Macaca fascicularis: one gene and its partners. The protein of the gene in region 6 interacts with the protein of the main gene of each other region in a pairwise test. Links are inferred from orthologs where the notes say so. Each region holds a gene or a part of one and is shown on either strand. Other genes may lie near its edges.

Evidence for each region.
Region 1: the proteins of EHHADH (region 6) and CAT interact in a two-hybrid assay, tested with the Homo sapiens proteins (2 studies listed by BioGRID, with this or other methods). The link is inferred for Macaca fascicularis from reciprocal best matches to the Homo sapiens genes EHHADH and CAT.
Region 2: the proteins of EHHADH (region 6) and TRIM41 interact in binary tests that used the Homo sapiens proteins (3 or more experiments, as listed by UniProt). The two-hybrid records come from large-scale screens. The link is inferred for Macaca fascicularis from reciprocal best matches to the Homo sapiens genes EHHADH and TRIM41.
Region 3: the proteins of EHHADH (region 6) and MID1 interact in binary tests that used the Homo sapiens proteins (3 or more experiments, as listed by UniProt). The two-hybrid records come from large-scale screens. The link is inferred for Macaca fascicularis from reciprocal best matches to the Homo sapiens genes EHHADH and MID1.
Region 4: the proteins of EHHADH (region 6) and SSNA1 interact in binary tests that used the Homo sapiens proteins (3 or more experiments, as listed by UniProt). The two-hybrid records come from large-scale screens. The link is inferred for Macaca fascicularis from reciprocal best matches to the Homo sapiens genes EHHADH and SSNA1.
Region 5: the proteins of EHHADH (region 6) and FUNDC1 interact in binary tests that used the Homo sapiens proteins (3 or more experiments, as listed by UniProt). The two-hybrid records come from large-scale screens. The link is inferred for Macaca fascicularis from reciprocal best matches to the Homo sapiens genes EHHADH and FUNDC1.
Region 7: the proteins of EHHADH (region 6) and DES interact in binary tests that used the Homo sapiens proteins (3 or more experiments, as listed by UniProt). The two-hybrid records come from large-scale screens. The link is inferred for Macaca fascicularis from reciprocal best matches to the Homo sapiens genes EHHADH and DES.

Annotation. Positions count from the first base shown.
Region 1 is NC_088388.1:31,108,615-31,111,271, reverse strand, and holds part of CAT (catalase), read left to right. Parts: intron 1-1,028; coding exon 1,029-1,136; intron 1,137-2,657. UniProt on the Homo sapiens protein: Catalyzes the degradation of hydrogen peroxide (H(2)O(2)) generated by peroxisomal oxidases to water and oxygen, thereby protecting cells from the toxic effects of hydrogen peroxide.
Region 2 is NC_088380.1:188,328,865-188,332,282, forward strand, and holds the end of TRIM41 (E3 ubiquitin-protein ligase TRIM41), read left to right. Parts: intron 1-509; coding exon 510-740; intron 741-1,253; coding exon 1,254-1,276; intron 1,277-1,474; coding exon 1,475-1,602; intron 1,603-2,016; coding exon 2,017-2,618; 3' UTR 2,619-2,776; downstream 2,777-3,418.
Region 3 is NC_088395.1:10,521,261-10,525,217, reverse strand, and holds the start of MID1 (E3 ubiquitin-protein ligase Midline-1), read left to right. Parts: upstream 1-1,157; 5' UTR 1,158-1,300; intron 1,301-3,957. UniProt on the Homo sapiens protein: Has E3 ubiquitin ligase activity towards IGBP1, promoting its monoubiquitination, which results in deprotection of the catalytic subunit of protein phosphatase PP2A, and its subsequent degradation by polyubiquitination.
Region 4 is NC_088389.1:2,127,392-2,130,711, reverse strand, and holds SSNA1 (microtubule nucleation factor SSNA1), read left to right. Parts: upstream 1-1,132; 5' UTR 1,133-1,205; coding exon 1,206-1,257; intron 1,258-1,546; coding exon 1,547-1,746; intron 1,747-2,271; coding exon 2,272-2,379; 3' UTR 2,380-2,820; downstream 2,821-3,320. Other genes in the region: ANAPC2 (anaphase-promoting complex subunit 2), read right to left, coding at 1-583, 896-1,012. UniProt on the Homo sapiens protein: Microtubule-binding protein which stabilizes dynamic microtubules by slowing growth and shrinkage at both plus and minus ends and serves as a sensor of microtubule damage, protecting microtubules from the microtubule-severing enzyme SPAST.
Region 5 is NC_088395.1:44,596,139-44,600,189, reverse strand, and holds the start of FUNDC1 (FUN14 domain-containing protein 1), read left to right. Parts: upstream 1-1,251; 5' UTR 1,252-1,278; coding exon of another isoform or gene 1,279-1,306; 5' UTR 1,307-1,409; exon of another isoform or gene 1,410-1,600; 5' UTR 1,601-1,675; coding exon 1,676-1,721; intron 1,722-2,007; coding exon 2,008-2,164; intron 2,165-4,051. UniProt on the Homo sapiens protein: Integral mitochondrial outer-membrane protein that mediates the formation of mitochondria-associated endoplasmic reticulum membranes (MAMs).
Region 6 is NC_088376.1:97,125,400-97,127,876, reverse strand, and holds the end of EHHADH (peroxisomal bifunctional enzyme), read left to right. Parts: coding exon 1-662; 3' UTR 663-1,977; downstream 1,978-2,477. UniProt on the Homo sapiens protein: Peroxisomal trifunctional enzyme possessing 2-enoyl-CoA hydratase, 3-hydroxyacyl-CoA dehydrogenase, and delta 3, delta 2-enoyl-CoA isomerase activities. Catalyzes two of the four reactions of the long chain fatty acids peroxisomal beta-oxidation pathway.
Region 7 is NC_088386.1:115,353,388-115,356,186, forward strand, and holds part of DES (desmin), read left to right. Parts: coding exon 1-197; intron 198-2,104; coding exon 2,105-2,148; intron 2,149-2,799. UniProt on the Homo sapiens protein: Muscle-specific type III intermediate filament essential for proper muscular structure and function.

The DNA of each region.
Region 1 (2,657 bases), on a different chromosome or scaffold from region 6:
CAGTTGACATTTTCACAAAATATGTCAAATACAGCTGAAGAGAGAATTAGTGAATTGGAGATAGGCCTGAGAAAATCCCCAGGATATAGTACTTTGATTAGATTGTGTTATGTCTGATTAACTTCGGTAGCAGGTTTAAACTTTACTCAAAAATTTAAAAACATAATTATAGCCTGATATTTGATGACTTAGGGAAATGATGCATCTCTTAATATGTTATGAAGGTGATACTTTGGATAATTGGATATTATTGGACTTTATAAACATTAATAGAACAGCACATAGAACAGAGTCTGGCACATTATAGATACTCAATATTTGTTGAATGAGTGGAATGAATGAATGAAATGTAAGAATAAAATCATAGCTACAACGTGTTTCAGAATTGGGCAGAGGCTGCTTGGATTCACATACCTGATACTAAGCTCCTATTTTTCATTTTAATTTATGGATATTTATTTTAGAGGCAAACCCAATAATCTAGCAAAATATCACTATTCATATGTTTTGCCTAAGAAATATTGGCTTCTGAATAACTATAGATGCACATGTATAAATGAAGTAGTTTTTAGATATATTATCTCTCTCTATATATAATTACATATCTATATATCAAATTATATCTCTAGCTAAATTAGTTTTTATTTCCCTCCATGGTTCTGGGTGAATTGAACAAAGGTTGTATTGTGCTAAGTTTACATTCAAAGGCAGCTTGCACATTTTAGACTTGTCAGTATTAAGCATGTGGTGAGGTTTTAAATTGTAGATCTATTTATAAGAGATTTATAGCAGTTACTATAAAGGATATTATTAGAAAGCAGTTAAGAGCTATTAATAAATGAATTTTACTTATTTTGCTTAAAACAAAAAATGAACACAACCCAAATGACAGTTTTAGTTAGTAATTTAAAATTATTCTTAAATTCTAACTTTTTTTATCATTGATTTCATAAGTGTTGTAGTAGGTGAACTTTGTTGGTGATAAACTGGTGATTCGAGTCTCTGCACTTGCTCTTTTCCCTGAGCAGGTGCGGGCATTCTATGTGAACGTGCTGAATGAGGAACAGAGGAAACGTCTGTGTGAGAACATTGCAGGCCACCTGAAAGATGCACAAATTTTCATCCAAAAGAAAGCGGTGAGTCTTTGTAAGCTGAAGGGTGCCCTCTGCTGGCATGGGAAGACAGTGCAGCTGTGTGGGAGAACCCTAAAAAGAAAGTGCCATTTCTATTGTACTTGACCTAGGAGGACTTAAAAAAAAAAAAAAAAAAAAATACTAGTAATCCCCAACCAACTTCTGATTATTTTCTTTCCGTGTTTTATCTGGTCTGGCATATCCATTGGTCCTTTGCTGTTTGTCCAATGTGTACTAATTTAGTTGTGTTCAGAGTGAATTTTATCCTATGCTGTTTAATTCGGCTGCAGCCAAGTTCTGTGCAAGATAGTAAATGTCCAATATCAAAATTTGAGTCCTGCTGCAATTCTACTTAAACTTTGGATGATAATAAATAAATCAGCTGGTGTGATGGCGTGTACCTGTAGTCCTAACTACTTGGGAGCTTGAGGTGGGAGGATCGCTTGAGCCCAGGAGTACAGGGCCAGCCTGGACAACACGGGGAGACCCTGTCTCTAAAATCAGTCAATCAGTCAATCTGTCTGTCTGTCTTTCTTTTTTGCATTTTTATGGTTTGAAACCTGCCTAAAGGCTTAATGTCATGATACCTCGATCCTCCTTCAGATGCAAACTAGAAATTTGCATGATTTCTGGAATAAGAACTGCAGTGCTTCCAAAAGGCAGGCTGGACTTTTGTGCTAAGGTGCTGGGGTATTTCTGATGGTCGCTCATCGAGCTCCATGAAGCCCTCTCACTTCTGGTTTCCTGGCCTGTCCCAGAGCTAAGCTTTTTGCAAATCTAGAAATCCCCCTTTTTCCTTGGCCCCTAGTTGCTTCTTCTCTGTTCCTAGGGGCAGCTGGGCTAGCAGCTGTCTGGGCTGTGTCCAAGGGCCTGGGTTCAAGTATCAGCAGAGAGCCTGACGGGCTCTCTGTGCAGTAGGCAGGGTGGGATTTATCTTCTTTTACTGGAGAGAATGGATAAGACAGCTTGCAAGTAGCAGAACTGAGCTGGAACCCTTGGCATTCTGCTTTCACATATGCTGAAACTGTAAGGCTTTTATGGGTTCCCAGTGCCATGCCTCCTCTTGCTGTCTGCTGGGGAATTCCTGCCTGAAGTATGTGGAGTGGCGCTGCCATGTACCAGTGTTCTTGTATCCTTCACATTAGGCTGTGTCTGGGCCCGTTTCTCAATATAAATCGCTGTAACTTGTTAAGCGCTTACTCTGAGGTCAGCTGTTTCCATGCAGTAAATGCAGCTCACCTCTCGGCATTTTTCTCACAGCATCCTGTGAGGTAGGTTGTGTGGGTTTTTTTTTTTTTTTTTTTTTTAAAGATGAAGTCTTGTTCTGTCACCCAGGCTGGAGTGCAGTGGCATGATCTCGGCTCACTGCAACCTCTGCCTCCTGGGTTCAAGAGATTTTCCTGCCTCAGCCTCCCCAGTAGCTTGGACTACAGGCATGCCCCACCGTGCCCGACTAATTTTTGTGTTTTTAGTAGAGATGGGGTTTTGCCATGTTAGCCAGACTGGTCTTGAACTCCTGACCTC
Region 2 (3,418 bases), on a different chromosome or scaffold from region 6:
CTCTTCTGGTTGGCGCTATGTCAAGGTCCGAGGACACTGTGGCAAACAAAGACATTCCTAGTCCCTGCCAACCGGAGCTTATGGTACAGTGGGGGAAAGATGTTAAAAGATATGTCATTTAAACACAACATTTCAGTGTCGTATGTGCCACAAAGAGATACAGGGAATTTGTGGGGATGGTCCTGATTTAGATCTGGAGAGGAGGGAAGGCTTCTTTTGGAATATTTAAGGTTGGACCTGAAGGATGAGTCAAGGTATGTAGACCAGGTGGAGAGGAGTGTTCCAGGCAGAGGTTAGTGAGTTTGGGGCCACTGTGCTGGGTGCAAGGGGTGGTATCTGGTAAGGCTGAGAAGTAAGGCCGGTAGGAGATGAGCCTCTTTCCAGGACTTTCTTGGACTTGGGGAGTATAGGGCTCCTTTGCCTTGCGTTGAGAAGTGGTAGTTGCAAAACTGGAGGTTATCTTCCTGTGTGTTGAGGTGGTATCTGTCATCCCCTTTGCACCATTCCAGAGCCAGATGAAGTCAGAGCTGGCAGCGGTGGCCTCCGAGTTTGGGCGGCTGACACGGTTTCTGGCTGAAGAGCAGGCAGGGCTGGAACGGCGTCTCCGAGAGATGCATGAAGCCCAGCTGGGGCGTGCGGGAGCTGCGGCCAGTCGCCTTGCAGAGCAGGCTGCCCAGCTCAGCCGCCTGCTGGCCGAGGCCCAGGAGCGGAGCCAGCAGGGGGGTCTCCGGCTGCTTCAGGTGAGCAATGTCCCCTCCCTGTTCCCCCAGCACTCCGTGTTGGCTGTCAGGCAGTGCTTACCAAACACCTGTCCAGAGCTGCCTCTTCTCACTGGGAGGAACCCACAGTGATTGAACCTGAAGACCAAAAACATGTTTTAAAGCTGGAAACAGTTAATGTCGAATGTGGTATGTGTGACGATTATACCAGTGAAAAGCATGAAGATTCGGTTGTAGGAGAGGTTTAAATGACAGTTGAGGAAAGGCTTTTTGACAGTGACATCCTGAAAAAGGTGAGCAGGTCATATTGTGGAAATGACAGGATTGGTGGGCTCACAGCAGGAGAGGCGAGTTAGGCATGGCGAGGCATGGGGTGGTTGAAGTGGATGTGTGTTCACTGAGGCCGTGAGCGTGCTGCCTCTCCCTTCCTGCTTAGGCTCAGTCTCTGACTGGAGATCGGGAAAGCTGTGCCTGTGCAGCTGACGCTCTTTATCTCTTTCTCCCTCTCCCTCTTTTTGTTTCTCTTATTCCCAGGACATCAAGGAGACTTTCAATAGGTGTGTTCCCGCTCTTTGCCCTTTGTGACCCAGTGGCATCTGGTTCCCGTCCCTGCTTCTCTTGGGTATCCCTCTCCTCTCCTTCTTCCCCAGGACCTGAGTTTCCATCTCCTGGACCCTCCTCTCCTTCCCCTCAGCTTTTGCTCTTCCCTCTGGGAATATCATGGTCCCACCCCCTGCCCGGTCCCCTTCCTCCAGGTGTGAAGAGGTACAGCTGCAGCCCCCAGAGGTCTGGTCCCCTGACCCGTGCCAACCCCATAGCCATGACTTCCTGACAGATGCCATCGTGAGGAAAATGAGCCGGATGTTCTGTCAGGCTGCGAGAGGTAGGGAGGTCACCTCCACGACCTTCCTTTGCCTTTCCCTTCACAGACCTGAGACTGGGTCCTGAGGGAAGTTGGGTCCCAGGGAAAGTGTAGGGGTTGAGATGGAGCAGGATACAGGCAGCCACTCAGGTTGAGGTTTCAAGCCATTAACAGGTAGTCCTAGTCCAGGCAGGCCTGGAGGGTGGGGGTGGGGTAGAGTGGCAAGAAGAGCCAGGCTGGGGGAAGACCTGTCAGGTGTCTGAGGAACAAGAGGAGAGAGAGGGAGCCTGTAGGAAGCTGAGGCTGGCCTCTGGGATGGTGTGGGGAGCTGAATTCAGGGAGGAAGCGGGCAGGAAAGGCCCAGTCTGTGGAGTTGGCTGCTGACAGGGGAACAGCCGTTCCAGCCCTGGCGTATTTGTCCTCCCTCCTCCCAAGTGGACCTGACGCTGGACCCTGACACGGCTCACCCGGCCCTGATGCTGTCCCCTGACCGCCGGGGGGTCCGCCTGGCAGAGCGGCGGCAGGAGGTTGCTGACCATCCCAAGCGCTTCTCGGCCGACTGCTGCGTACTGGGGGCCCAGGGCTTCCGCTCTGGCCGGCACTACTGGGAGGTAGAGGTGGGTGGGCGGCGGGGCTGGGCGGTGGGCGCTGCCCGTGAATCCACCCATCATAAGGAAAAGGTGGGCCCTGGGGGTTCCTCCGTGGGCAGCGGGGATGCCAGCTCCTCACGCCACCACCATCGCCGCCGCCGGCTCCACCTGCCCCAGCAGCCTCTGCTCCAGCGGGAGGTGTGGTGCGTGGGCACCAACGGCAAACGCTACCAGGCCCAGAGCTCGACAGAACAGACGCTGCTGAGCCCCAGTGAGAAGCCACGGCGCTTTGGCGTGTACCTGGACTATGAAGCGGGGCGCCTGGGCTTCTACAACGCAGACACTCTGGCCCACGTGCACACCTTCTCGGCTGCCTTCCTGGGCGAGCGTGTCTTTCCTTTCTTCCGGGTGCTCTCCAAGGGCACCCGCATCAAGCTCTGCCCTTGATTATCCTGCCACCCGCGGGGGCCCCTCTGGTCAGCACTTGGGGGGCGGGTGGTGGAGGGTGGCCCGTAAGTTTGAGGGGCTCAAAGGCTCTTCCCACTGTTTGTCACTGTGTTGCTTCCCACTCCCCCTTGACCCCAGGCCCCTGCTTCTCCCTCTAGGAGCCTAAAGAACCCTCCTGGCCTCCAGCCCGGCCTTCTCTCACCTCCTATGTCTGTCCAGCAGGTCTGCATGGGTCCCTGATAATGAGAACAGCTGCCTGGTCTTCTCTCCCAGTCTGCCTAGCCCAGCCCTGGGACCGGAATTTGAGTAGGGGATGAGGGGAAATTGTAATTTCATTCCTTAAGTTCCTTTTCCCCACCCCTGCTCTTCAGCCTCTGTCAGTTCTGAGGCTGGAGGGTTTGGGCAAGACAACATCCCCATTCCAATTCCATCTTCTGATGCAAATTTTAGCTGAGGGATTTGGAAGCCATTTGGGGAGGCAGGCTGGGCCAGAGGGTAGAGCTGGGTAATAAATGTCTATTCTCTGGGGGAGGAGGGATTCTAAACTTTCCTTCCATCCTCAATTTCTACCTCCATAGACCGGCCAGAATTTAGCTTCACTTGAGAGAGATCTGGAATGGTCGCCATGATTGAAACCACGCACCATTACATCGCCCAATAAATTATTTCTTCCCCCGTCCCCTTTCCAGCACTCAACTGAGGAGCAAAGCTCATCCCACCCCCACCCCTCCCAGGTCTGTTCACTGCCAGGCTCCTTTCCCTTGTTCAGTGGAGCTGGCTTTTCTCCCAGCCCCTTTCCA
Region 3 (3,957 bases), on a different chromosome or scaffold from region 6:
CAGAAGCTCTTTGACATTGGTTTGTGTTGGTGCTCACTTAGGTGGCATCTGAAGATTCATTTTCTCGCTTGTCTTAAGCAGAGACCTAAAACAGCCTTGAGCTATTTTTAATAATGTTGCCACTACTCAACGAGCAGTCAACCCATGGATGAAACAAAAACAAGTGTTTTGTTTTGAGATAGGTCCTTTTTAGCAGACAATCTTCATCTCTAGTACATAGGAAAGTCTCAAGTCTCTATATTGTCTTCAGTGGAATTGGCTAGAATTTTTTAAAATTATTACTTTACTAGGTGGTAGATAAAATGTAAGGGGAAGAGCTATAGAGTTCTTTTAAAGATATATTTTCTTGTCTTCTTAAATCGAGGAAGTTGTTTAAAAATGTTTACATCCAAGTATGCAAATTCGCAAGTCTTAGATTTCTTTCCTGAAACCATCAAATAACACATCAGCATGCGGGCTTAGGAGGGTTGTTACTGGAATAGATGTCATTATCTATCATTTTGCCCATCAAAAAATACAGTAGTGATTACTGCATTGTAAAGGGAGAAAACTCAAAATGATTGTTTTGCATTATCTACCAAAGGCCTGGGAAAGTTGAATAAGTGTTCGTTACTATGCTCAAATAAGGCATTTGAGCCTTACTTGATGGAGGTTTATTCACATTCTCTTTCTGTCACATGTTCTATTTACTTCTTTGAAAATAATCTCAAGTTCAATTACTCTGGTTTTAAAAACATGAAAGACAACTTATAAAATGCTACACTTTTTTCCCCTACAATGCCTTCAGATAATATAAGGCTGGTCACAGCCCATGATATAAAATACTAGCTGTTGACTCACAGTTACACTACAAGGGCCAATTTTACAGACTGCCAGGATAAAGATGATTTTAATTAAATTGCACAAATCCTTTTGTACTGCAACCAAACCCCTACGCAGGCTGACCGACTCTGAGCCATTCTGGCGTGTGTAGAGTTAACCAGGTTACCAGGATTCCTAGTTAACTTCTTTCACCAGGAATGCAATTCATGTTTACCTATATAAGGAAACCTGTTAGACTGACCTGAGTTTGGCGGATTTTCGCGCTGACTGAGAGGCGTGTAAGCACACACCCTGGAGAGGGGGAGTGATTCTGAGCTGGACAGAGCAAGCTTCCTGAACGCCCCAGCCATTCAGCTGATCCGAGGCAAAGAGCCGGCACTTGCCCCAGACCAGCCTGCTTGGAGGACCTACAGGTTTGTCTCTTCCAGATCACAACTGAGGAACAAAAACCCCTGTCCTGGGAAAAATGGGGAAGCCGGTGAGTCTTACCACTCTCTCTCTGCTTGCTTCTGCTAAGTGGCACGCCTGTCTGCTCTCACCCAGGAAGCAAAGTAAAAGGCGTTGCTCAGCCTCTAACCCCACAACTCCTTCCTGAACAAATACAATGCTTTGCGAATACCTCCACACAACTTTTTCTGCCTGTTTTGCACACCAAGAATCCACAGAGGGAATGATTTTTAGCACTTTAGACATTCCAGAGAGTGTTTTTCCTAGGCAAGCGTTTCTATACTATCGTGATGAGCAAACTTTCTCATCTTTGTTACACTCTAAAACAGTGGAAATTAGCCTTGGGGTGCTTTGTGAGGAAGGCTGAGTCCCCAAGGAAGTGATAGTAAATCTAAATGGGGTTCTTAAAACCACAGGCAGTGTGATGGTCTACAAAAGCCTAATTTGTCACTAAAAAGGCAGTCTGAAGGTATCATTTTTCATTCACACAGCAGCAAAATCCTTGCGTCCTGCATATGTAATAAAGGACACCTTCTGAGACACTTAGGAAAAATAGAAGCCGAGCTGGCCTCTTTGTTCTAGACAATGTAAAGAAGCTCGCTCTTGTGTTTTGACAAGGAGCGTATGTCTATTTTTATATATGGCGAGAATGGTGTATAAAGGCTTTATGTCAAAGGTATTGTGGTCACTTGAGTCAAAATCTGGCTATATTCTCTATGTGTACAAAAATCTCAATCTGAATGTAATTAAACATGGAAATGTGAAATTGTTTAACAGACTTGCAGGGAAATTTTAGTTATATTTGGAAACAGCCAATTATAAGAGACAACTGGGAAAGGAAAAAAATTGTTTCAACTGAGTTCTGGGGCAGAGGTAAAACTTTTGCAAAGAAAGTCAATTTTTTGTAGCTGTCAAAAGTGATTTGGAATCAGGTAAAAATTTTTATTTTTATTTTTTCGTGGTGATGTGGTTTTTTGAGTTGAATTAACTTGGATAATTGTGTTGAATGATTTGACTGCTCGTCTTTCAAAGGAATACTGTTGTTTTCTGTCATATACAAACTTAATCCTGAGTTTGGGCAGCAGGTTTGTGCTACTGACTGCAACAAGTGGCACAAAGACTCAATTTCAGATTTCTGATATTATGAAATTAATTACTTAAGTTAATTTAAAGAAAAGTAATCAGTGCAAACAAGCAGATTTGAGAAAATGACCACCTTTTTAAAAAATGCAAGTGATAGTCCATTTCCTAGTGAGACTATTGATTTCATACAGGCATTGGCAACTGCCTAGTCATAGGGACAAAAGCTATGGCCAATTTTCTCTAGGATCTTTGACTCTAGAAAGCATAACTTTCGCAAGGACACAGTTTAAATGAAACTTGTTCACCTCCGTGAGAATGAAACATAGAAAAGCACCGTGTATAATACAATGGACATTTTAGTAAATAAAATTCTTAATAGCACAAGCAGCAGAACAGAAGGGACAATGCAAATGTTTTAAAGTTTATCTCCTCAGTGCTGCTCAGAAAAATATGAGTCTTGACATTCTGTTGCTGTCAATGGGAGTCAGCAACCCAGGAGACACAAAACACTATTTTAGAATATACAGTTAATAACAGATGGTTTAATACCAGGTTGTCTCACCCTGCCGATGAGATGGCCCCAAGCCAAATCAGCCAGCACGTCTGCCGTTTTTCCTGTGAGTTGATATGTACATAGTTATTATGCACTAATTATACTAACAGCCAAGGGAATATATAACCAGAAAGACAGATAAGTCTCCTGGGGTAGGGAGGGCAAGGGGGCGGTGTATGCATAGGGTTTTTAGATCTCATGTTTAGAATTATCCTTGCCAGTGGCATATGAATTATTGCAGATGACTGGGAGTCTCACGGCTAGAATCTACTCATCCCTGGCTCCTCAGCAGCCTGTTTGGGGGTAATAATATTGTTTATGGTATTTAACAGTTTAGTGTTAACAAAGTTCCAGGAGGATTCCTTCTTAAAGATTAAAGTTTTTCCAGTGTCTGAACTAATCCTCCAATTAAAGACAGTTAGGACCTATATTGTTGCATTGACCCTTTTCGAGTCACAGTACTGTGTGCTTGCATGGAGGGTTGAACGATTCAGCAGCCTCCTTAGATCTGCAAGATGTTATTAGGTGCCCTGGTTAAAAGAGGTTGGAAAATACTGGAGAAAAAAAAAAAAAAAAACAATGGGAAATAGGTCTTCTCAGAGCCTTAATATGTTCATTTACTAATACGTGTTTTGACTCCCTGAGAGAAGTATAGTGTGCACCATATGAAGTATGGTTTGCTGCAAACCTACTTGACGGCTCGTTTCTAGGGTGATCATTCTGAGAAACGATCTGATATTATGAAATTAATTAGCTTCTCAATGGATGGACCACAGAGCACTGGTAAATGATGAGTGGGTTGCAGACATACCCAGTTGTTGACCCCTCTTGGCACATGGGCCATCAGGCTGTGGCTGGCCTGAGCTGATCCCTGGAAAGTTATTTCTGGATCACATAGCTTCCTCAGTTTACCTCCATATATGGTGCAGATTGCATCAATTTCTCTGTCATGATGTTTTAAAGTTAGGAAACTGCCTTTGACAATCTAGGCCCAGAATATTGATCAAACCAATCAAAATACCCCAACACTGTATTAACTTGGGCCTGGGGGC
Region 4 (3,320 bases), on a different chromosome or scaffold from region 6:
GACACCAGCACTGTTGCTTGTCACTGCTGCACCCTGCGCACAGCGGGCTCTGCAGGAGCCGGTAGTACCGGCGACGGGCATACCGGCTGTCCAGCTCCCCCTCCAGTTCCGGGTCTGTGCCCCCTTCCCCCTTCCTCTTACTCTGCATATAGACTCTCAAGAAGCACCCATACAGACGCTGGATCATCTCTTGGAAGGTTCTGGGGGTACTAAAGAACAAGACTCCGCGCAACATAGTGTGGACTTTTTCTCGCAGCCCCTGAGCACCAGTGCCCATCAGCAAGCCCAGGCGAGTCCATTTCTCCAGCAGCTCTAGGCTACGCAGGTAGGGATCCAGGCGGCTCTCCAGCAGGCCAAAAGCGTCAAGGAGCAGCAGAAGGCACTGGGGCTCATCCGTAGAGTTCTCGCATTGGGAGATGGCATTCCAGAACTCAGGGGAGATGTTGGCCTGCAGATCGTTCTGCAGCACCTCTACGAACCACTCCTCCAGGACCGAGTGCAGGCCGTGGCCCCTCAGAACCTCCACCGCCGCCCGGAGCTCCTCTTCCTTTGGCGGGACTGCACCGCTGGTCCGGGAAGACACCTGGAGCGCAGAAAACCGTGAAGCGAGGGGAACACAACATAGAGGTGGGGAGAGGCGGGGAAGGGAAGAAGCTGAGGGGTAGGCTGCAAAAACTCCGCTGCCCCCTGTCCGTGGTGTCCGGACGTTGGGCCGAAACTAGGGAAGGGCTGCCAGCGGAGCTGAACGAAATGAAGTGGAATGGCGGTGGAAAGCGGCAGGACAGGGCAGAGGCGGATGACGGACAGAGCTGTATGAACCCGAAGGTGGCCGCCCCAAAGTGCATAGGGTCCCGGAAACTCCGCGCGGGGCCGCCGCTCTCTTCCCAGGCCTCACCAGCCCCAGCGCAGCTGGCGGCACCAGGCCGGTGCTCACGGTATTCCAGGCCACTAACAACTCCTGTCCGGGCCGGGAGTCGCTGTCCCCCTCCGCCACCACAACTGCCGCCGCCATCTGCAGCCACCGGCTCCGAGATCCCCTCGGCACGGCGCAAAGCGATGACGCAAGTCTGCACGCGCAGCCATGACGCGCACAAGGCGCTCAGCGATGACGCGTAGTTCGGCGCGCCGTCAGGGAGTCGTGCGCAGGCGCGGACAGCGCTGGTTCCGCGTCGGTTGGGGTGGCGGGGCCCCGGGCGGCGTAGACCATGACCCAGCAGGGCGCGGCGCTGCAGAACTACAACAACGAGCTGGTCAAGTGTGAGCGGCGCAGCCGGGACGGGGAGGTCGGGAGGGCCGCAGGGCCGGGTTCCCGGCTCGCAGCGGGGTGCCCCTGGACCCGCCTAGTTGCGGGCATCGCGCAGCTGAGCAGAGCCCTCCGTGCCGGGGGCTGGGTGTCCGTGGCCCCGAGCCCTCGTTGGCTCGCAGGCCCCGCGCCGGGTGCTCGGGGGTGGTGCCTGACTCTGGCTTCCTCGGGTGGAAGGAGGCCCGCCCTCCGCCGCCGCGCTCCTGCCCTGGGCCCACAGCCCCGCCCCTCCTGGCCCCCCAGGCATAGAGGAGCTGTGCCAGAAGCGGGAAGAGCTGTGCCGGCAGATCCAGGAGGAGGAGGACGAGAAGCAGCGGCTGCAGAATGAGGTGAGGCAGCTGACGGAGAAGCTGGCCCGCGTCAACGAGAACCTGGCACGCAAGATTGCCTCTCGCAACGAGTTCGACCGGACCATCGCGGAGACGGAGGCCGCCTACCTCAAGGTGGAGCTCGGGAGGCCAGGCGGAGCATCAGGGGATAGCCGCGGCAGGGGTGTAGCCGCGGCAGGGCGTCAGGACCGTCTGGGGCTCCCAGCTGTGGGCAGTCTGTGCCTCGCTGACATGTCGGGCAGGAGCAGCGTGGCCAGGCCCATTGAGGAACCCAGGCTGCTGCGGGAGTGACCGTGGGGCTGTCTGGGGGACCTGGGGCATCCTGGGTCCTGGTCTTCATCCGGTTCTCGCTAGCCATGTGGTTCTTTCTGCTTAGAGTGTGAAGAGCCACGTCTTGGGCCAGTGCTAACCCAGCCTGGCTTTGAGGGTGGGGAGGAAGTGTTCTGGGTCAGATTCAGGAGGGAAGAGGGCCCTGTTACCCCGTCTGCCAGTCCCCTTGGGCTTCCGCCTTCCCCCGCACAGGATCCCTTGGCTACAGCACCCACAGCCAGGTCCCAGAACCTGAGTGTGAGGACAGCTGGGGCTTAGGAACTTCCCAGCAGGTGAACAGTAACAACTTCCTCACTTCTCTGGCCCCAGATTCTGGAGAGCTCCCAGACTTTGCTCAGCGTCCTCAAGAGGGAAGCTGGGAACCTGACCAAGGCTACAGCCTCAGACCAGAAAAGTAGCGGTGGCAGGGACAGCTGACCAGACCACGGGCAGGGCCTGCCTCTGTGCGCCCCTCACCTCAGCCCCGACAAGTCTGTCCTCAGAGCGTCTTTGTTCTTCACAGCAGCAGCTGCCTTCCCTCACTGTCCCCGGTGCCGAGAGGGGCGGCTGCCAGCCTCTACTGGCATCATTGACAAGCCAGGGCACAGCCCACCCAGGGGCTTTGTGCTCACACGGGCTGTGGGGATGGTGGGTTCCAGGTCAGCTCTGCAAAGGGCCTGTCTCTGTGGCACCCACACTCCTGCCCTGCTGGGGAGGCCCTGGTTGTCTGTGCACCATGGGGGCCCCCTCAGCTTGTCCCTCCTCAGCCAGCAGAGGCCCAGGGCAGGGGACAGGGGTTCTCCTTCACCCCAGAACCCAAACCTCAGGGCTCACCCCTGTGGCCTGTGATTATCAATAAAGATTATCTTTGTAAAGGTCCGTGCCAGCCTGCTGCTTGCCCGTGTCAACAGTGTGGGGCTGCCAGACACCTGCAGAGCCAGAGCCTGAGGCTCCCCCTTGGGAAAGGAGGGAGGAGGCGTCTGGAGTGGTCTCCCTATGACTGCCCAACTAGCCTCAGGGACACCGCTGAGGGTGCCCACCCCGCCCAGGCCAGCGCCACCCTCGGCCCTCCCCAGCAGGGCCGCTGGTCCTCTTCCCCTGACTGGCCCACAGCTCACCCTCCTCTCAGCTCTGCTCGCTCGTCCTGTTCTCTGCCACACCCTGGTGTCCAGCATAGGACCCAGCCCAGAGAGACAGCTAGGGATGCCAAGCATATCCAGCAGCTGCCTCAGACTCAGGTCTCTCTCAGCAAGGACTGGGGGGGCTTCACACCCCCTACCCCCACCAGTTCCTCCTTGCAAGTCCTGCTTGGCCTGATGACACCACTGCTGCCACCAGGCCCTGCTGCCCCTTTCCCTGGCCGCACGCCAAGCACTGGC
Region 5 (4,051 bases), on a different chromosome or scaffold from region 6:
AAAGACTATGGCAATAGGGGTGAGTGATGGGTCTCAACTCTGAATATAGCAGGGAATTTTTTTTTTTTTTTTTTTTTTTTTTTTTTTTTTTTTTGAGACGGAGTCTCGCTCTGTCGCCCAGGCTGGAGTGCAGTGGCCAGATCTCAGCTCATCACAAGCTCCGCCTCCCGGGTTTAGGCCATTCTCCTGCCTCAGCCTCCCGAGTAGCTGGGACTACAGGCACCCGCCACCTCGCCCGGCTAGTTTGTTTTTGTATTTTTTTAGTGGAGACGGGGTTTCACCGTGTTAGCCAGGATGGTCTCGATCTCCTGACCTCGTGATCCGCCCGTCTCGGCCTCCCAAAGTGCTGGGATTACAGGCTTGAGCCACCGCGCCCGGCCTATAGCAAGGAATTTATAGTAAATGATCAGAGTGAATGGATCAATGGGTGGAAGATTACCAAGAGCAGACATGAGGGGTAGAGGTATTCTTGCTAAGTCAATTTAACAGGATTTTTGCTGGTGGCAGAATGATCAGATATCAAGGGTGGGGTTGAGGAATTTGATCGGATATTGAGGGTGATTCGATTTTTTTTTTTTTTTTTTTTTTTGAGACGGAGTTTCGCTCTGTCGCCCAGGCTGGAGTGCAGTGGCCAGATCTCAGCTCACTGCAAGCTCTCGGCCTCCCAAAGTGCTGGGATTACAGGCTTGAGCCACCGCGCCCGGCCGAGGGTGATTCGATATTAAGGGTGGGGGAGTTCTCACTAAACTGACTTAACTAGATTCTTGCCACAAATGGACTAGGCAGGTCAAAGACGACCCAAGGAGGAGACTCAGTCAAAAACAGCTCAGAGGAGCCTCCTGACTAAAGTTTGGTCAAGAGAGTCTTTGTCAATACCCAGCTGGTTTTCCCTTTGTACCACCATGTAGCGCCCTTCCCCCCATACCTTCAGCCCTTAAGGCTCTTTAAAACAAAATAATCAAATTCAAGTTATGGAAATTCGAGGAGGGGCGGTCCCTCCCCCTTCCTAGTTGCGGAAGACAATGGACTACAAGTCCCCTGCCCTCTCGCGGGGCTATGATCCGACCGGCCCTGCCCACATTCCGGAGTCTCGCGCGTGCGCAGAAGGCAGAAGGTCCTGCGCTGAGAGAAGGGGGCGGAGACAGGACTACGCGCCTGGAGTAGGAGGAGGAGGGAAAAAGAGACCATAGATTTCCATCCTTGCCTAGAGCGGCCCTTAAAGTGCCAGGGACAGGAGGGCGGGCGGGGACCACTCCAGAATTGGCCGCTGGCGGTATCATGGCGACCCGGAACCCCCCTCCCCAAGGTGAGCGGCGAGGGCCTGAAGTGGTATCTGGGACGCGGCTCACAGCTCTCGACCTTGCTCCCATGGCACCTCTTCCTTCCCCTGCCCTAGGATTCTTCGAACTGTATATATTTTTTTAAGTCAGCCCCTTTGAGCACCCCCTCCGAGCTAGACTTTTTCGTCCCCCTCCGGAACTCAAGCGGAGAGCCCCCCCCCCCCCCAGCACAGCCCTACCTACCTCCTGCCTTACCTTCACCTCCGGCCCTTTATCTCCATCTTCAAATGTATTATTATTTTCTTTTTTTAAACGTCTAGACTCAAGTGATTTCGCTGGGCTCCAGACTAGTTATCTCAGAGGAGGACCCCTCCCCACCTCCATTCCTTCCACTGATGAAAATGGACCCTGCTCTGACCTTGACCCTACTAAGATTTGGAGGTTGGGGTGACCCCTCACTACTGTGTCATTTCTGAGTTGGCCCTGGCTTCGTGACCCCAGGCTGGTCCCTGGGCCTTTGGGAAAGCAGATGGGGGTCATTGTTGTAGGGCCCTTTACTCTTGAGGCCCTGGTCTCAGGAATTGAGTTAAGTCAGTAGTTTCCATGTGGGCATTTTTAGCTGTAGGCCAAAAGTAATGAGTTGTAACAGATATTTAAAAAGATGTATGGGACATTTCTGACTTTTGATTGACTCTACATTTATTTTTTGCATTTTGCTATTTTGAAGAATATGAAAGTGATGACGACTCTTATGAAGTGTTGGATTTAACTGAGTATGCAAGAAGACACCAGTGGTGGAATCGAGTGTTTGGCCACAGTTCGGGACCTATGGTAGAAAAATACTCAGTAGCTACCCAGATTGTAATGGGTGGCGTTACTGGCTGGTGAGAACAACGTCTTTTTCATTAAATTTCATTTGGGGGCCTGACACTGCTGACCTTTCATACATCGGGAAGAGTCACCGTGCACATGCAGTGGGTCTACACTGTTAATTCTGGAAGAGGCTTTTCTCTGAGTTAAAATTGATGTAATCTACATGCCCAGGCTCCCTGTTGGGTTTTGGCGATCCCCTCCCCCATGCCCACCGCTGTTCCTCTCCTCCCTCCTCATCCTTCTTTTGATTCTTCAGCAAATGTCGTGGATCTGATTCAGTGATAGTAGATAGGAAGAAATATATGAGTTAATTATATGTAAATTTTTACATTTCATTCAGTGCTAACTACTGAAAAAACCTAAGAAACTCCCACGGTAGAAGTGGCCTCTAGTATTGTCAGCCCTGTACAGAGCAGTGTAAAATGCTCAGTATGAATTATTGGTGATGATACAGATGATTCTGTTTTTTGTGGGCTCGTTCAGATTATGATAACTCTTTGAAAAAGAGCTGTAGAACATTAGTTCTGTGTTGAAATTAAAGGTCTGATTGCTTACTTGGGAATATTGTGGAGTCCATTAAGAAGTGGTTAATAACCATCAGCCTGACCAGTTAACATTTCAGACCACGTGATAACACAATGGCTACTGTGGATCTAATTCTGTTCTTATAATAAAAAGGCTAGCCAGATAACAAGGGGCAGAAACAAATTTGACTGTTTTGAAAATGTTCGTGAATGTAGAGAAATTTTGGAGTTAGTGAGGGTGCTTAACTTGTGCATAAGCATTTTTTCTTAGATTCTCTTTTAAGTTCATCTTACATTGATTTAACTGAAATATTTACATGTTTCCACTTGATAAGTATAACGAGTGTTTTTATTTGTGTTTTACATGCACCTTGGAATAATGACACACTCCTCTATGCCTTTTTGCAAATGCCATTTTATGATAGAAATACTCATTTTCAAGATTCTGTGTTGCAGAGGTGCGGCATTTATTCATGATATGTACTTACTAATGCTGCTGCAGGAAAAAAGCCTGCAATTAGGAGAGAGATGCCTGTCAGGGCCTGGTCATTCAGATGATTCTCCACAGGCAGATAGTTCCTCTAGCCCTGTAATTCAGGGTATGGCTCTCTGCTTAAATAAGCTCACAATTTGGTGCCATGGGTGATTGGTTAATGTCAGTCAGGGCCTAAAGTCCAGTCTTAAAACAGACTAAAAAATAATTGAGAATAGAATTATCAAGTCATTTCATTGTTTCTCCTTGGAGACCAGACTCCTTGTAGATCAAGCCCCATCACTGGCAGAAGTTTGCTCGGAAAGCCTGGAGACAGAGCAGCAGGAGATAGGTTCATTGTAGTGACTGATGCCATCAAGCAATGGATATACATGCTTGTGGAGCACAGTCCGAGGGACATTGTGGCTGCTGCCTGCCTTTTCTGTTCCCTTTTCTGTGCCTTTGTTGCTGACTCCCCTACTGAGGGGCACATTCTTTATGGTAATACAGTCGTCCCTCAGCATAGGATACCAAAATCTGCAGATGCTCATGTCCCTGATATAAAAAGGCATAGTATTTGCTTATAACCTGCACACTCTCTGGTACACTTTAAATCATCTCTTAATTACTTACAACACCTAATACAATGTAAATGCTATGTAAATACTTGTTATATGGAATTTTAAAAATCCGTGTTACTTTTTATTTTTTTTGTCTTTTTTTTTCAAGTTTTGTGCCCTGATTGGTTTAATTGTAGATGCGAAACATAAAGAGAGCTGACTGTGTGTGTATGTGTGTGTGTGTGTATATATATGTATATGTATATATGTGTATACATATATACGTGCATACACGTGTATGTGTATATATGTATATGTATATATGTGTGTGTATATATAGAA
Region 6 (2,477 bases):
AGGTAGATCAGGTGCTGGAAGAGTTTGGTTTTAAAATGGGACCTTTTAGAGTGTCCGATCTTGCTGGGTTGGATGTGGGCTGGAAATCTAGAAAGGGGCAAGGTCTTACTGGACCTACATTGCCTCCAGGAACTCCTGCCCGAAAAAGGGGCAATAGGAGATACTGCCCAATTCCTGATATGCTCTGTGAATTAGGACGATTTGGCCAGAAGACAGGTAAGGGTTGGTATCAGTATGACAAGCCATTGGGTAGGATTCACAAACCCGATCCCTGGCTTTCCAAATTCCTATCACAGTATAGAGAAACCTATCACATTGAACCACGTACCATTAGCCAGGATGAGATCCTTGAGCGCTGCTTATATTCACTTATCAATGAAGCATTCCATATCTTGGGAGAAGGTATAGCTACTAGCCCAGAGCACATTGATGTTGTCTATTTACATGGATATGGATGGCCAAGGCACAAGGGCGGACCCATGTTCTATGCTTCCACAGTTGGGTTGCCCACAGTTCTAGAGAAGTTGCAGAAATATTACAGGCAGAACCCTGATATTCCCCAACTGGAGCCCAGTGACTATCTAAAAAAACTGGCTTCTCAGGGAAACCCTCCCCTGAAAGAATGGCAAAGCTTGGCAGGCTCCCCTAGCAGTAACTTGTGATTCAGCCTTCCAGATTATGCCTCACATGCTAGCATCAGGTAATGCTCACTGAATTTCAGTGAAATTAAATCAAAAATCCAAAGTAAGATTGTTCTGAAATACAAAGCAAAAGAAATAATCAGTAGAGTCTTCTGTGTGACGACTCTAATGGTCAAATCTTTAGGAATGTGCTTCCTATGCCTCTGAATCTGTCCTTATCAGATAAATTCAATGCATGAACTTGTGTGAATGTAATATCATAATCGCTGATGAAAGAGGCTCAGGCATAAGTTGAGATTCTCAAATGTTTTGATTATTGGATACATGTGTCATCAATTAATAAATGATAAATGCAGCTAAGTCATACATTGATTTTGACTCCTTTCAATGTCACACACATAGTATTGATCAGAAATCTTATGAATCATACATACACTCAACAAACATTGAAGTCGTAGGAAAAACATGGTTGGAAATTGGTAAGGGAACTGAGTACTTCAAACCAGCACAGGGAACTCAGATTAGTATGGCAAGCCTTTCCTCTTCTGGTCTTTCCTCTTCTGTTTATGAAGAAATAATAGAAAGGAGTAAGTCGTTAACTTAGTGTAAGAAGGGTCTTAGAGAACATCTAACCTTCTGGAATTTCCCAATTCTATGATAGAGTAATGACGCCAGTTTCCCTGTCATGACAGGCCTCTGTGATGTTACATATGGAAATGGTTGAATCTTGAAAAATCTAAAATTGTTGCAAAACATATTTTGTATAATTTTGTTATAAGAGTTCTTCTCTTTTTACTTTTTGCGTTGTGTAGTCAAAAATTAAGGGGCTGGTCAATACAAAAACTTGTACACAAATATTTATAGCAGAATTATTCATAATGGCCAAAAGTTGGATACAACCCAAATGTCTATTAACTAATGAATAGATAACTCTGGTATATCCATACAATGGACTATTATTCAGTCATAAAAAGAAATAAAGGACCAGGCACAGTGGCTCACACCTGTAATCCCAGCACTTTGGGAGGCTGAGGCAGGAGGATTGCTTGAGGTCAGAAATTTGAGACCAGCCTGGGCAACATAGCAAAACCCTGTCTCTATAAAAAATACTTCCTGTACATTAGTGGTTGCCTAAAGCTAGAATTAGGGATGATGGATGGGGAGTACAGGATTCATCTAATAGGTACAGGATTTCTCTATGGTTCATGAAAATGGTCTAAACTTATTGTGGTAATGGTCACATAACAATATATTAAAAACTATTGAGTTATATATTTTAAATGGGTGAATTATATGGTATGTGAATTGTATCTCAATAAAGTTGTTAGTAAATAAATGGGGCTGAAGATGTTATCCTTCATTGTGGTGGAAATGAACTTTCACAATATTTTCACCTGTGAACCCAAACAAAATGAAAGTTCTGATGGAAAAATCTTGAATGAATAGAGTATAAGTTTTCCGTTGTTAAAGAGCAAACAAAAAACCAACAAAAAATCCAAGTGTGCCTTGAATTGTACAGAGCACAATTATTACGTTTGAAATATATACTACTTAATTTTATATAATTTGGTTTGTGAAATTAAAGACATCAATGAAAATGATTCCTGAAAGTAGTAATTTTGTCTCCAAAGTGACTTGTTTTCAAATTAATGTTAAAAAAAAACCCACTAACTTTTTCTTCAATCCTGGAATTAATTTTGAGTTCTTGCAACTTATTTTCACCCTACACTAGCCTCTAGATTGAGGTTTTGAAATTAGAGCGTCTATGAATAGATTTTATCAGTCAATAACCCCTGAAATGTTATGATAAAGTTTGTGTATATGTATCTGAGTACA
Region 7 (2,799 bases), on a different chromosome or scaffold from region 6:
CGGGAACTGGAGGACCGATTTGCCAGTGAGGCCAGTGGCTACCAGGACAACATCGCGCGCCTGGAGGAGGAAATCCGGCACCTCAAGGATGAGATGGCCCGCCACCTGCGCGAGTACCAGGACCTGCTCAATGTGAAGATGGCCCTGGATGTGGAGATCGCCACCTACCGGAAACTGCTGGAGGGAGAGGAGAGCCGGTGAGGGGCCAGGCAGGAGCCGGAGTGGGGAAGTGGGTGGTGCTGGGTGGCCCATTCCTGTCCCCAGGAGGCTACCTCAACAAGACATGGAAACAATTTTTTTTTTTTTTTTTTGAGACGGAGTTTCGCTCTTGTTGCCCAGCCTGGAGTACAATGGCACCATCTTGGCTCACTGCAACCTCCACCTCCCGGGTTCGAGCAATTCTCCTGCCTCAGCCTCCTGAGTAGCTGGGATTATAGGCACCTATCACCATGCCTGGCTAATTTTTGAATTTTTAGTAGAGATGGGGTTTCACCATGTTGGCCAGGCTGATCTTGAACTACTGACCTCAGGTGATCCACCTGCCTCAGCCTCCCAAAGTGCTGGGATTACAGGCGTGAGCCACCGTACCCAGCCTGGAAACAATTTTATACAAGAGGCCACTGCTGTATTAATTGCAGAGAATTAACCAAGGCCACCTGGGTAAAAAGCAATTTAATTAACAGCATTTATAAAAAGAGAAATATAAGTATTCCCTTATCCACCTTCAGAATTAAGAACCAGTAGCAAAAAAACATATTCAGCAACCAATAATAAAATATTACTGCCAGTCAAGGGAGAGATGAAAGCAGAATGGGGAGAGATGAGGAGGGAAATGGAGGGAGCAGTTAGAGGCAAATAGAGAGAGGGAGGGAGAGAAGCCTTGCACAGGGATAGGCTAAGAGAAGGTAAAGAGATGCATACAGAAGGCATGAGTGTACACACACATGCACACACGTAAGCACACGCACATGCTCGGAGGAAAAGACATAAACTTCATGCTCAGAGCAACCCACCTCTAGACAGAAAACAATATACAACTGGAAAGGGACACCAGGGAACCTTGTGGGATAACAGAAATGTTCTATATCTTTTTTCTTTTTTTCTTTTTGAGACAGAGTCTTGCTCTGTTGCACAGGCTGGAGTGCAAGTGGCGTGATCTTGGCTCACTGCAACCTCTGCCTCCCAGGCTCAAGTGATTCTCCTGTCTCAGCCCCCCTAGTAGCTGGGATTACAGGCGTGTGCCACCACGCTCAACTGACTTTTTGTATTTTTAGTAGAGATGAGGTTTCACCATGTTGGTCAGGCTGGTCTCTAACTCCTGACCTCAAGTAATTCGCCTGCCTTGACCTCCCAAAGTGCTGGGATTACAGGCATGAGCCACTTCACCTGGCCTAGAAATGTTCTATATCTTGATTTGGACTGGTAGTTACACAGACGTGGACATTGATCAAAACTCATTGAATTGTACATTAAAGATCTGTGCATTTCACTGTATGTAAATTTAACCTCAATTTAAAACAGATCAATTACTCCAAAAACTGGTACCCCCTGATACTCATAAAAATAATATCTGAAATTTTTGAAAAACAGAAGACATGTTTAGATATAGGTATACACATAAAGAGAAACTTCAGATTTAGTAAAATGACGTCTTCATGTGATGGCCTTTGAAGGTAGCTAAAGGCATGTTACGTTTTCCCAGCATTAGGCCTAAATAGTAAGCTCTCAGAACTGGCCTGGCTGGAGGGTGGGCATGAGCAATGGATATCACCCACAGCTGCTACTGATATGACTTTCAGTGCCAGAAGCAAGAAGGAAATCCTGGTGCTCTGGAGGGTGCAGTGGGGTTGCGCATCCTGGTGTCATGCCAGCAGGTCACAGTTGAAATGAATGATCCTTCCAGAAGAGACTATTCCTGGGACAGCTCTAGCTGACCTTTGACCCCATTCCTTGAGCAGTATGGGTGGCGGGAGTGCTGGGGTCCGTGGGACTGGGACAGCTGAGGATGGGGTTTAGAAAGGACCAGGGTGAGCCTTGATGGGCGGTCTCAGGGAATGATGGGAGGTTTCTTAACTCTTAGGAGGCTTGGTCTCTTCCCTTTTAGGATCAATCTCCCCATCCAAACCTTCTCTGCCCTCAACTTCCGAGGTGAGTGTCTGCTGGCAGGTGGAGGCTGGAGTTGCAGGGGCCAGGAGTCCAGCATGGGCACTGCCCGAGGCCAGCCAGGAGGGAGGATGGGACCCTGGGGCCAGGGAGGACAGACCTGGAGTCTGGGGAAGAAAAAGGGGGCCCCTGCGGGTAGGTGGGGGAGTTTAGGTAGAGGTGGATGAGGCACCTTATGACAGAGAGAGCTTTTTATGTGATTATATTGTATAGTATTTACCATGTCCCCTGCACCTTCTTGGAGTATTGGGCATCAGGAAGCAGACTCTGTTCTGAATCCCAGACTCTGAAAGTAGCAGGAGTGTCCTTGGGGACCTGGCTTCAGGAAGATCTCATACCACCTGCCTTCTAAGGCACCCACGGCCCATTGTCTGTTTGGCACATTGCCAAGCACCACCTTGGTTGCTTGTTGAACACCTCCAGTTTGCTGGAGCAAGATGTTGGATGCACGTTGGAAAAGAAAAGCCAAATCTTAGCAAAGCCAAACAATGAAAAGAATGAGCTCTTAGGGCATTCTGCCATTCTGACATTAGTAATATACAGATCGGGTGGCTTTCCAACCCCAGAGAGCAGAGAAACACACGATAATGATGCATTAGGAAAGCAAGTCGGAGTCCTTGGCAGCTTCTCCTTTCC